3 linked regions of the Oryctolagus cuniculus genome follow. The protein of the gene in region 1 interacts with the protein of each later gene in a pairwise test. Links are inferred from orthologs where the notes say so. Each region holds a gene or a part of one and is shown in the gene's direction. Other genes may lie near its edges.

Region 1 (4,188 bases):
TTGTGAAAGGCAGAGTGGTGGGGGGCAGAGAAGACAAAGATCTTCCTTCTGGTGGTTTCTTCCCCCAAATGTCTGCAGCAGCCAAGGTTGAGTAAGGCAGAAGCCAAAAACCAGAGGCCAGGAACTCTGCCTGTGTCTCCCTTGTGGGTGGCAGGAACTATCACCCACTTCCTTCCAGGTACACTATCATGATGCTGGATGGAAGCAGAGTGGTCAGCGCTTGAACTTAGCCTCTAACATGGGACTGGGCACTCCCAGCAGCTCCTTAACCCACCGTGCTGCATGGCCACCATTAAAGTGATTTCTTTCTTTCTTTCTTTCTTTCTTTTTTTTTTTTTTTAGCAAGTGAACATCCCATTTCAAACCTTTACAACTAAAAGGGACCTTGGGGATTACCTAATTCAGCTTCTCATTTTTTACTTGAGAAAAACTAAAGTGCAGAAAGGTTGATTTCTCAAACTCACACGATGAGGTGGCATAAACAAGTGGGAAGATGAAATGAAACACCATCGAGACCTAGAACTCCAGTTCTAACCCGCACTGGGGCATCTTTCCCTTGGGAGATGTGTTCTTGAAAGCAGCCTGGAAACTTAGCATTAGCGGTTAAAACAGCACTGCACAGAGTTTACAGTCTTGGAGAAACACTCGGGCACATCTGCAGGAAGTCCCAAGGATCTTCACCGTAAGGTTCTGTTCACTTCTGGGTGACAGACAAAAGGGGAAGATCAGCTGGTGAACGTCACATTCACTGTGTGATAGTCACGCTTTGGGACTGCACGCAGCATTGCTAAGCGGGCAGTTTGATCTCCAAGGCGCCATTGGGTTAATCAAACAAGAAAAACCCGGAAGCAGGATGACACATGAGCCCTGGGCCCTCGAAGGCTCATTTCCCTTAAGTTCTCCTTTGAAAACCATGCAACACAGGTAAAGCAAATGTGTGGAAAATTTCAGAAGGGTGCTCACAGCAGGTCCCAGTGCCCACTTCCAAAGACGGTGGTGCAGCAGGTTCTCTCATGTGCACGTTGTTACTGTTTTTTTAAACAAGAAGAATGCATCATTCATGGATCACTTTTGCTTTTGATGGCTATTAAAATTAACTTCTCAAGACTATTAATCGTTAATTTCTGGAGGACGGATTATGATTTCTTTTGCAGAAGAGGACCGACAGGTAACTGCGCATTAAGTTTGATAAACAAAAACCTTTAAGATAAATCAAAGCTTTAGACAAAGCATCACAGACAGGAGAGAACAGGAAGTCTTCCTAGACGAAGGCAGGGCGGGGGAGGGGAGCCGCGCCGGCGCAGTGCGCCCGCCCGCCCGGAAGCCACGCCGGAAGACCGAGCGCGACGCCGTGGGGGAGGGCGGGGCCACGCGCAGCGCGCAGGCGCAGTCAGGCGGGGGGGGGGCCGCGGCCGCGGAAGCGTAGCCATCTAGAGACGCCGCGCCGCTTGGACGCTGCTGCGCGTGCGCAGGCGGCCGGTGTTGAAGTCCTCGCCTTTGCCGCCTCGGCCGCTGCGGCCGTCTGTCCGGGATTGGCGTCTCGTGTTTCCTTGGCTCGCCCGCTGGCGGGTTCGCGCCCTTCTCGCGCCCCCGGGGCAGCGAGGCTGGGGCAGGGGTTGGCTGGGGGCTGTTGATTGGCGCCTTGAAGGGGCGGCCGGGCGGCCATGTCGGCCGGCGAGGTGGACCGCCTTGTGTCGGAACTGAGCGGCGGGACCGGAGGGGATGAGGAGGAGGAGTGGCTGTATGGCGGTACGGAACTTCCTGTCCCTTGTCCCTCGGCGGGGGTCCCTGGGGGCGGCCCGCCCGGCCCCGCGCGCCGGCCCCGCGGCCTGAGGGCCGCTCCGAGGCCGAGCGCGGCGGGCCTGGCGGCACCGGGCCCCGCGTCGCGCCGGCGGCCTGGCTGCGGGCCGCTGCGGCGTCCCAGGTGGGCCCTGCCGCCCCTCGGACACAGCCGTTGAGAAGTCTGGCTGAGTGAAGGCGATGCGGAGACACTGCCGTCTAACGTGGGCGCGATGCACCTGCCAGCGCGCCTCCCGGGCAGGGTCGTGCTTTTACAGTAGTCGACTCGGGGACCCAGGTTATGGCCCAGAAAGAAACCCCTGATGTCGCCCGTGCCAGGTGACGTTGTGGTTTTTTTCTAGGGACCCATTAACTCGCGTTGTAGAAGCACCGCGTGGCCCTTTTTGGCCTGCCTTTCTCAGCGTTAATCTATTTTTCTCTAGTGCTTCTTGTGCTTGCTTCTTGCAAGGTGACTTGACATCGGGATTTTTTAACTTAAGTGGAGCCGCAGGGCCCCTTTCTGTTCCACGAGGTTTGCAAGTTCGTGGTGTTTGCTTTCCTAAAACGTGAATTCTTGATGGTTTCCAGCGTCACATAGTAAAGGTGTCCGTTGGGCACCAAGCAGCCCCTCAGTGACGTAACTGGAATAAACGTCTTAAAAAAAATTCCTCCTCTGTCAAGGTGCGGCACTGTGAAGTTCTTTGCAACGTGAATGGGTAACTTTGTATCCGTGAGGTCTGAGGTCCCGTATAGGTGTGTCTTGTTGGGGGATTGTAAGGTGATCTAACTCTGCTGTGTTTGTAGGCCCGTGGGACGTGCACGTGCACAGTGACTTGGCAAAGGACCTAGGTTAGTGCTTGTGACCACTTCAGATTTGCATGAGACTGATTTCTGTAAGAGTGGGATCTTCACTTACTCGCTTATTTATTCTGTTTGGTAGATGAAAATGAAGTTGAAAGGCCAGAAGAAGAGAATACCAGGTTAGTGCAATTGCCTGTTGATCTTGCACACACGTTGTGTGAGTCCATCAACAAATTGTCAAAAGTTCTTCATCGGCATCCTGACAATGTTTGGAGGACGCTGAGTCTTTCAGACTTTCTTCCGAATTCAAGGCCTACCCTTAGACCAGTTCCATTTGGTAGCAGCTCAGAGGACGGTTTTTAAAGTTAGACTTTGACTAGGTTTTACTATTAAGTAACTACTCATCAGTGAGCTCAGTAGCAGAATGTACAGTGTAGTCATCAAACTAAGGAAGATATTTTAACCTCAAGACTTTTGAGGAACTCTGAAGGTTACTGCTTTTACAATCTATTAATATTTTTGATAGTCTAATGCACCTTGTTATGACCTCAGTGCTTTGTATTTAAGTTGAAAGTTAACATGTTATAAGATTGAGTCTGTCAAATTATCAGAGAGGTGTGGCATTTGTAGACATTTAAATTTCAAAACAACTCACGCAAACTCATGCTGACTTTACTCTGGCCGAATGCACTGGTGTTCTATAATGTAGGACAGGGTGGTAAAAATGGGAACTTTAAAGAATGTTTGTATTTAGAAAGTGGACAGCATCTCACTGAACAGCCTGAGGTGGCTGGAATCAGAGCTAAGACAGGTGTTGGTGACGCTGTGTCAAAACTGAAACCCCAGCCAGCACACTGCTGGTAGGCTTGTCAGAGGCGCAGCTGCTGCAGAGCATAGACTGGTAGTTTCATCCAGTGGTTAAACAAGTTACTGTATGACTCAGGCGTTCCACTCCTGGGTTTATACCTTAGAGAAATGAAAACACGTATCTGCTCAGAAAGTTGTCCGTGAATGATCATAGCCACATTATACATTAAAAAAAAAAACAAAACGGAAGCAGCCCAAGTGTTCGAGGACTGTTGAGTGACAGGTTAAGTGTGGAGCGTCTATGCAGCGGGATACTGTTGGGCCGTGAACAGGACAGTGAAGTACTGCAGCGCGTGGCAGCACGGATGCACCTGGAGAACATCACGCTAGGTGAAGGAGACCCATGGCAGAGGACAGCATGTATGTGACGTGTCCAGAATAGGCAGATCTAGAGCTAGTGGACTAGTGGCTGTCAGGGTTTTAGGGGAGGGTTGAACAGCAGTGACTGCCAGTACACCTGAGATTTCTTGTCGGGGCAGTGCAGATGTTTGGGAATCAGGTAGCTGCACTGTACTGAACCCACCAAACCGATGTAACTGTGTCCCTCCGTGGATGGGTTGGGTGGGAAGTGGAAACGGGAACAGCTGAGGAAGGGCTATGCTTTTCATTCGCTGCTGTATCAGATCTTTTCATTTAGTTCTGAGTTTTATGTTGTCACCTCAGCTCCTGACCCTGATCCCAACCACAAAATTGGGATTAGCATAGTTTATAGTTATGAAATTTGTTAAATATTCATACCCA
Region 2 (4,165 bases), on another chromosome or scaffold:
CACTGGGTTCTAGTCCCAGTCTGGGCACCGGATTCTGTCCTGGTGGCCCCTCTTCCAGGCCAGCTCTCTGCTGTGGCTCAGGAGTGCAGTGGAGGATGGCCCAAGTCCTTGGGCCCTGCACCTGGCTCCTGGCTTCGGATCAGTGCGGTGCGCCGGCCGTAGCGGCCATTTGGGGGGTGAACCAACGGAAAAGGAAGACCTTTCTCTCTGTCTCTCTCTGTCTAACTCTGCCTGTCAAAAAAAAAAAAAAAGTAATTTGAAAAACAAAAATAAATCGTGAACAATGAAAAAAATAGGGGCCGGCGCTGTGGCATAGCGGGTAAAGCTGCCACCTGCAGTGCCAGCATCCCATATGGGCGCCAGTTCGAGTCCTGGCTGCTCCATTTCTGATCCAGCTCCCTGCTATGGCCTGGGAAAACAGTAGAAGTCCTTGGGCCCCTGCACCTGAGTGGGAGACCTGGAAGAAGCTCTTATCTCCTGGCTTCTGATCAGCACAGCTCCGGCTGTTGCGGCCAATTGGGGAGTGAACCAGCGGATGGAAGCCTCTCTCTCTCTCTCTCTGTCTCTGTAACTCTGACTTTCAAATAACTAAATAAATCTTAAAAAAGAAAAAAATAAATAAATCACATAGAATCAGCAAAACAATACCTAGATATAGAAAGAGGCATTTTACACTATGCTCTGTGTCCCTCCATGGTTTTCCAGCGTGAGCGAGCTGCATGGACCCTCAGCCCCCCTCGAAATGACACGGTTTCGGGCCCTACCCCAGCTGCTCTGTCAATCAACTAAATGCAATCAATGCTCGATCTCACATCGAGAAAACGAATAAAAAGGGCAATTTTGTTCCCACCCAAGTCCACTAACGCACCCAGGTTAAAAACCCCCGGGGTTGAGAGCCCCGCGGCCGCCGTCCTCCCTCGGACCCCGCATTCCCAGACGCTCGCCCGGCCCCCTGGTCACCCCGGCCCCCTCTCACCCCGGTTTCCTCCGACGCCCCCGGGCCTCCCTAGGCTCGGGTCCCCGGGCCGCTGTGAGGACCCATGGGAACTCCCAAGCGTAGGGGTCGCGGGCCCCAGGCCCCAGGGACCCGGCCTCACGCGGCCCAGTCCCGCGTGCCGAACCGGCCCGGTTCCCCTGTGGGTCACCCTCCGCCAGAAGCACGCGCCCCGCGGAGCCTCGCCCATGCGCAGTCCGCGTCGCAAGCTCCCACGCGCGGGGGTTTCGGCTTACCGGCCAGGCGAGGGGAAGGGAGGCGCTGCGTTCGGCGGGCGGCTAGCCGGGCCTGGCAGAGCGGTCGTCCTCCGCTCTCGATTGGCCGGGTCTGGACGTGCAAAAGCACCGGCGCGGGCTCGGGCGCTCCCGGCATCCCTCGCGCGGTGGTGGCGGCGGCGGTGGCGGCAGTGGCGGCGGCGAGGCGGAGGCGGAGGAGGCGGACTGCGTGCGGCTGGGGCCGGCGGCGGGTGGAGGAGTGAGGGCAGCGAAAGACCTGAGAGGAAGTCGGGCCGGGGGGCCGCCGCCGCCGCCATGCAGGAGATCATCGCTAGCGTGGACCACATTAAGTTCGACTTGGAGATCGCGGTGGAGCAGCAGCTCGGGGCGCAGCCGCTGCCCTTCCCCGGCATGGACAGTGAGCGCGGGGCCGGGGCGGGCGGGCGAGAGCGACTCCGCTCCGGGACACCTGTCTCTCGGTCCCGGAACCCCTGCTTGCCGGGGGCCGGGGTCCCCATTTTCTTCCCTCGGACTCCGGAGCCCCCTCCCTCCCCCCACCGTGCGCACTCTCTCGGGTCTTTGGACCCCTGGGGCCGCTCTGAGGTCCGCTTCGGGCGGTGCTTGTGTAGTTCTGGAATGAGGGCGAGTCACGCTGGGTCGGCAACCCCAGCCCCGGGCAAGTCCTGGGCTGTGCGCCCCGCCGCCTCCCGCCCCACTCGCTGAGCGGCCGCACTGGGTCCGAAGGGGAGCCCTGCCGAGGAAGGGGCCTCCTCCCCTCTGTAGGAGACCCCCAGCCAACCCCCGTCTGCTCCTAGGACTCGCTCTCCTGGGAGCGCATCTCCAGTCTGGCCTTGTCCCCCACTTTTTCTCTGGTCCCCGGGAAAACATCGCACCCGGGCACCTGAGCCCCCATTAACCGTCTTCCTTCCCCTGGCTTCTCCACCTCCCAGCGCAGACTTTAAAAGACATAGCAGTTTTCTTATCTCCTCTCGTTTGTGCACCTGCTTCGGATCTGCAACTGTAAAGCGCACGTCACGGACGGGGAACGGAGGCCCCGGGTGGAGAAGGGACTTGGAGCCCACGTACAGCCAGGCTGTGTCCCGCAGCTGCCAGCAGCAGCACTGCCCTCAGGCAGCCCAGCCTTCTCACACCCACGTGATCCGCCTCTCTGCTAGCGAGGGCACGCCCAAGAGACCACCATGAGAGTACCCCTGGGGGGCCCCCCACCCCACCCCTCCGACCACCGAGGAGAGCCCCCCGGGCTCCCCGACCCCAACGACCACCACCGATGAGAGTCCCCCTGGGCTCCCCGACCCCTCCGACCACCACCCCTCCAACCACCGAGGAGAGTCCTCCGGGTGCTCCCCCCGACCCCTCTGTCTGCGACCTCTCGGTGCGCACACACTCACGTGCAGCTTCTCATTTCTCACTCTTGGTCTCTTCATGTCTCAGGGGCACTGGTTTGAGGCCGTGGGACCATCCTACTCCCGCTTGGCAACACAGATCCAGGAGCCTGTGAGGCCGGGGGCGGGGCCCCACGGGGCTGCCCCGGGACACAGGCAGCCCGAGCACTCCCCACGTGTCCGTGCTCACGTGCCCTGCGTACCTTCCCTGAGCTGCTTCCCCATCCCAGTGCTGGGAAGAACCCCTTCTGCCCTTGAGACAGGCTCCTTATCCCATCTGCCTGAGCCTCAGTCAGACGTAGCAACAGAGGGAGAAAGAGAGGTCTTCCATCTGCTGGTTTGCTCCCCAAGTGCCCACAGCAGCCCGGGTCTGGACCAGGTGGCTGAAGCCAGGAGCCTGGAACTCCATCTGGGTCTCCCACGTGGGTAGCAGAGACCCAAGTCCTTGAGTCATCATCTATTGCTTCCCAGGATGATTGACAGCAAGCTGAATCAGAAGTGGAGGGGCGGGACTTGACCCAGTACTCTGACGATGGGATGTGGGCATCCCAAGTGGCCACTTAACCTGCTCTGCCACGCCTGCTCCTAAATGGTATATATATTTTAAGATTTTATTATTTATTTATTTGAGAGGGAGCGACAGAGAAAAAGGTCTTCCATCCTCTGTTCACTCCCCAAATGGCCACAATAGCTGGAGCTGAGCCAATTAGAAGCTGGAGCCAGGAGCTTCTTCCAGGTCTCCCACGCAGGTGCAGGGGCCCAAGCACTTGGGCCATCTTCTACTGCTTTCCCAGGCCATAGCAGGGAGCTGGATGGGAAAAGGAGCAGCCGGGACTCGAACTGGCGCCCATATGGGATGCCGGCACTGCAGGCGGAGGCTTAGCCCACTACCACAGCAATGGCCCCAGTGGTATGTTTTTAAATGCAAGGTTTTCAGATTTTTGAGATGCGAACAGAATGACACCCCAAGTTCTACAACCTTAGCTCTGTCCAGCACAGTCTGCCTGTTTTGAGAAGCCAAGGAAGCCACTCCAGAGAGACCGCCAGTGGGTTTCAGCGGTTCTGAAATGGCTGCTGGTAGAGAAGACTTCGTGAGCCCAGGGAACGTTTAATCTGCTAGCCATGGCCAGTGGATTCCTGGACTCGCAGACCCTGGCCCCAAGCCCCCCGACTTCCCTGCGCTGCACCTGTGGGAATGCAGGCTGGGCCCCTCAGCAGCAATGTGGGTGCCGCGTACCCAGGGCCTTCCTGCCTGTGCTCTGCCCCCTGACCAGCGTCCCGAGGCCCCCAGCCCCTCCTCCCAGGCCCCGTTTGCTTGTGCTGCCTGTCCCATCTTCCCCCCTGCCTGTGAAGTAGCTCTCCTGGAAGCGCTGAGCGGGGGGATTAGCTCATTTCTGTGAGCCTGTGTGCCAACTTTCCTTCCCCCACCCACTCTTAACTCCTTGGAAGGAACTTGTGGACAGGAAGCTCTCGGCAAGCCTGGGTTTCACTGTGTGCATCTCACCTTTCACTGTGTGCATCTCACCTGCCGGGTAGGACGGAAACAGGCAGCT
Region 3 (4,257 bases), on another chromosome or scaffold:
GACTTTTTTGTTGTCTTTTAAAAAAAGATTTATTAATGTATTTGAAAGGCAATTTTAGAGAGAGGGAGGGTAGAAAGGAAAGGGGAGGGGTCGGGAAAGAGAGGGGTGGGGAGAGAGAGAGAAATACATGGATTTCCATCTGCTGGTTCACTCTGCAAATGGCCACTGCAGCCAGGGCAGGGCCAGGCCAAAGCCAGTAGCCCAGAATTCCATCTGGGTGTCTCACGTGGTTGGCAGGAGCCCAATCACTTGGGCCAGCTTTTGCTGCTTTTCTAGTGCATTAGCAGGGAACTGGATCGCAGGTTGAGCAGCTAGCACTCAAAAGAGCACTGCACTCATATGCGATGTCTGCATTGCAGGAGGTGGCGTAACTGGCTGGGGCACAATGCCCACCCCAAGCCTGGACTTCACTCCTGGACTTCTCATTGAGAACTGCTTTTCTCGCCCTGACTGACAGGTTTTGGCTTAGCACGAGCCTCCTGAGGGAGAAGGCTGGTGCGATTTCACTCTACCACGCAGGTCAAGACCTGCCTGTTTGCTCTTCTCATTTCCAATCCATCATGCCAGCCCACAAGCATCAGAAGCCCCTGTGGACCCCCTGCCAGGGCCGTGCCTGTGTGCTGCTGATGCAGACCATTAGGTGTGCGTCTGCCTCAGCAGGTGCGCTGGGAGGGGCTGGTATTTTAGGTTGTTGTGTAGATTATGGGAGGCTGCCCTGCACTAGACCCAAAAGACCAAACCATTATGGACTCACTGATGCCCCAAGTCCAAGTCACCAAGCTGAAAGCAGAATGTTTATCTGACTTCTGAGAGCACAGAGGCAGGGAGGGAGAGGCCACATTCCCAGACAGGCCAGATGTGGCAGGAAAGTAACTTGGAAATTCCTCTTTTGTCTGTTTCTGCTCTCCTCAGCCCTCTGTCTATTAAACTAACATCTGCTCAGCTCACTAGAACGCTCATTTAGAACAGGGTGTTGACTGAATCTAGAATTGCACACAAAACCCAATCAGACCTTCAAGTTGAATGTTTTTTATACATTCGTCTCACCCTGTGCGACCACACAGCTCTGGGGCCGCTCTCCCAGCTGGGGCAGGGACGGCAGTCCGCCTTCCGGTAACCCCGGGCTTCTGGCGGGGGAAACCCTACTTGACCGCGGCGCTCCCGGCGTCCAGACCCGGTCCACACGGACAACGGAAGGTCCCTGAATTACCACAAGAAAACCCCAATCGGGGTCTTGGGCCAGCAACACGCTGCCCACAGCTGCCGCGCACCGCGTCCGACCCCCAGCCCTCCGCCCCCGTCTACGTACCCGCGCCCGTTCCCGGCGTCCGACTCCCGCCCCGGCCGGCTGTGGGCACGGGAGCCGGTTCCTCACACGGGCTGACGACGCAACTCGGCTCTACCCCGCAGAAGGCGTAGCCTGTGGAGTGCGCCTGCGCGGTAGGATGGCCCCGCCTCGGGGCGGGGCCTCCCCTGGGCGCGGCTCGTGCGCACTGCGCCTGCGCAGGCCGAGGGCGGTGGCTCTGGCTCCCGGTGGGGAACCGTCAGCCCCTACGTGCTGGTGGCGTGGATGTGCAACTCGGCGGGGAGAAGCGACTGAGGTAGGTGTCCTGGTGGACCCAGCGTAGGAGGCTGGGCTGCACTTGAGGCAGGACTTGTAGGGTGAGGGGGTCCTCGCCCCCCGTGTGCGTCGCTGGCCGACTGAAGCCTCCGTCTCCTCCTGGGACCCCCGAGCGCCCTCCCGGTTCCTCGGCTCTGCGCTGTAGCGGCTGTCCGCGAGCTCCGCGCCTGCCCCACCCCGTTGCCCCGCCCCTCTCCGACGCCCCGCCTTTTCCCTACGCGGCACCACGCCCACCGGAGGCCCCGCCCCTCTCCGGGGCCCCGCCCCTCTCCTGCGCCACGCCTACCAGCGGCCCCGCCCCTCTTCGGGGCCCCACCCTGGCCGAGCTACGCCCCTCGCGGCGCCACGCCCCCTCGGCCCGGGCCAGCCGCGCCGCTCCCGGGTCTCCCTCCCTCCCTCCCGTCAGGTCTCTTCCAGAGCTCCGCCCTAGCCACGTCCCTCCCCGCAGGCACGCCCCTCCCGGCGCACGCCCCTCCCCGCAGGCACGCCCCTCATGGCGCACGCCCCTCCCGCAGGCACGCCCCTCCCGGCGCACGCCCCCTCGGCCCGGGCCGGCCGCGCCGCTCCCGGGTCTCCCTCCCTCCCTCCCGTCAGGTCTCTCCCAGAGCTCCGCCCTAGCCACGCCCCTCCCTCAGGCACGCCCCTCCCTCAGGCACGCCCCTCGCGGCGCCACGCCCCCTCGGCCCGGGCCGGCCGCGCCGCTCCCGGGGCTCCCTCCCTCCCTCCCATCAGGTCTCTCCCAGAGCTCCGCCCTAGCCACGCCCCTCCCTCAGGCACGCCCCTCGCGGCGCCACGCCCCCTCGGCCCGGGCCAGCCGCGCCGCTCCCGGGGCTCCCTCCCTCCCTCCCGTCAGGTCTCTCCCAGAGCTCCGCCCTAGCCACGCCCCTCCCCGCAGGCACGCCCCTCCCGGCGCACGCCCCTCCCGGCGCACGCCCCTCCCCGCAGGCACGCCCCTCGCGGCGCCACGCCCCCTCGGCCCGGGCCGGCCGCGCCGCTCCCGGGGCTCCCTCCCTCCCTCCCGTCAGGTCTCTCCCAGAGCTGCCTCGGCCCCGGCGTCAGATCCGGGCCGCACCCTCGCGCCGTCGTAGGTGGGCCCAGGTTTCCAGCGGAGTTAGTAGTTACGGTTCCAGGAATCACGAGAGTAGGGTCAGGCCTGTTTGTAGGCGAGGCGTGCGTTCTATAGGAGTGTGGCGCTGGCAGGCGCGGGGGAGCTGAGGAGAGGCGGGGGGCTCCGTCCCAGGGCGACCCCAGGAGCGCCCGGGCCAGCCCGGGACGCGCGTGTGCCTGTGCCGCTTGTGGTGCTTTCGATGGGCCTTGTAGAACTGAGGGTGAGTTTCATCTCCACACCGCGGCGCACGCGTAGGTTGGTTTCACTTGGGTCGGGGACCTTTCTAGTGTGCCTCAGAAGTTAAATGGATTTGATTGTCAAGCGGTGTAACAGCCCTCTCCCCCTCTCCCCCTCCCTCTCTCTCTCAGTAGAAACGAGGAGGAGAAAATGAAATAATAAAGGCAGCAGGTATGAGGCAGAGCCCGAGGGAACTATGGCCACGTCAGGTGACTGCCCCGGGAGTGAGTCTCAGGTAATTTTGTCTGCAGTGTAAGAACTCGTGCCCAACGAGCGTGAATGTGACAGAAACAAGTGTCAGCTCACAAGCCAGGAGCGTCACTTGTGTCCTTGAAGGTGGCCCCCACAGCGGGCTGCTTCCGTTGAAAGAGCGTTGAGGTACAGGGTTGCAGATGGCGTTCCCGTGCTGGTGCTGGAAACATGTCTAGGGAGTACTTCCGGTGGTCAGAACACGGGGTCCTCTGCACACCTGCATCCAGCGTGGGAGTGCCTGGCTTCAGGTGCTGGCTTGGCTCCTGATGCCAGCTTTCTGCTGTGGTGCACCCTGGGAGGCAGCAGGTGATGGCTCAAATAGCGGGATATCTGCCACCCTCATGGGAGACCCAGATTGAATTCCTGGCTCCTGTCTTTGCCTGGTCCAAAGCCCTGCTGTTGTGGGCATTTGGAGAATGAACCAGCACATGAGCTTGCTCTCGCTCTCTCTCTCTGTCTCTCTCTACCTTTTAAATAAATAAAATTAAGCACTTAGTAAAAAACAAAAAAAGAAACTGCACACAAAAATATCAGTCACCTAGGACTCAGTTTTGGTGCCTGAACTAGTGAAACTAGCATGCTTTCCTAGCTATTTGATGACACCCAAGTATAATACCAGCCAATTAGAAGAGATACATGTATGCACACTGTTTTCTGCCTGGGCTACACACATAATTTCATTCAAGCTAGCAGTAAAAAAAAGAAAAAAAAAACACGTTAAATTTTAAGGAATGTTGGTTATGTAAAATAAACTAATATTCTAATAGATGTTTTAAAAAATCAAACATTTTGAGCCGGCGCCGTGGCTCAATAGGCTAATCCTCCACCTTGCGGCGCCGGCACACCGGGTTCTAGTCCTGGTTGGGGCGCCGGATTCTGTCCCGGTTGCCCCTCTTCCAGGCCAGCTCTCTGCTATGGCCAGGGAGTGCAGTGGAGGATGGCCCAGGTGCTTGAGCCCTGCACCCCATGGGAGACCAGGAAAAGCACCTGGCTCCTGGCTCCTGCCATCGGATCAGCGCGGTGCACCGGCTGCAGCGGC

The links.
Region 2: the proteins of FIP1L1 (region 1) and CPSF4 interact in binary tests that used the Homo sapiens proteins (3 or more experiments, as listed by UniProt). The two-hybrid records come from large-scale screens. The link is inferred for Oryctolagus cuniculus from reciprocal best matches to the Homo sapiens genes FIP1L1 and CPSF4.
Region 3: the proteins of FIP1L1 (region 1) and PRMT2 interact in a two-hybrid assay, tested with the Homo sapiens proteins (2 studies listed by BioGRID and IntAct). The link is inferred for Oryctolagus cuniculus from reciprocal best matches to the Homo sapiens genes FIP1L1 and PRMT2.

Annotation. Positions count from the first base shown.
Region 1 is NC_091439.1:110,501,602-110,505,789, reverse strand, and holds the start of FIP1L1 (pre-mRNA 3'-end-processing factor FIP1), read left to right. Parts: upstream 1-1,388; 5' UTR 1,389-1,664; coding exon 1,665-1,749; intron 1,750-1,870; exon of another isoform or gene 1,871-2,102; coding exon of another isoform or gene 2,103-2,118; intron 2,119-2,583; coding exon 2,584-2,628; intron 2,629-2,719; coding exon 2,720-2,759; intron 2,760-4,188.
Region 2 is NC_091450.1:41,650,084-41,654,248, forward strand, and holds the start of CPSF4 (cleavage and polyadenylation specificity factor subunit 4), read left to right. Parts: upstream 1-1,365; 5' UTR 1,366-1,524; coding exon 1,525-1,627; intron 1,628-4,165. UniProt on the Homo sapiens protein: Component of the cleavage and polyadenylation specificity factor (CPSF) complex that play a key role in pre-mRNA 3'-end formation, recognizing the AAUAAA signal sequence and interacting with poly(A) polymerase and other factors to bring about cleavage and poly(A) addition.
Region 3 is NC_091435.1:202,865-207,121, reverse strand, and holds the start of PRMT2 (protein arginine N-methyltransferase 2), read left to right. Parts: upstream 1-1,457; 5' UTR 1,458-1,601; intron 1,602-2,635; exon of another isoform or gene 2,636-2,949; intron 2,950-3,097; exon of another isoform or gene 3,098-3,100; 5' UTR 3,101-3,162; coding exon 3,163-3,201; intron 3,202-4,257. UniProt on the Homo sapiens protein: Arginine methyltransferase that methylates the guanidino nitrogens of arginyl residues in proteins such as STAT3, FBL, histone H4. Acts as a coactivator (with NCOA2) of the androgen receptor (AR)-mediated transactivation.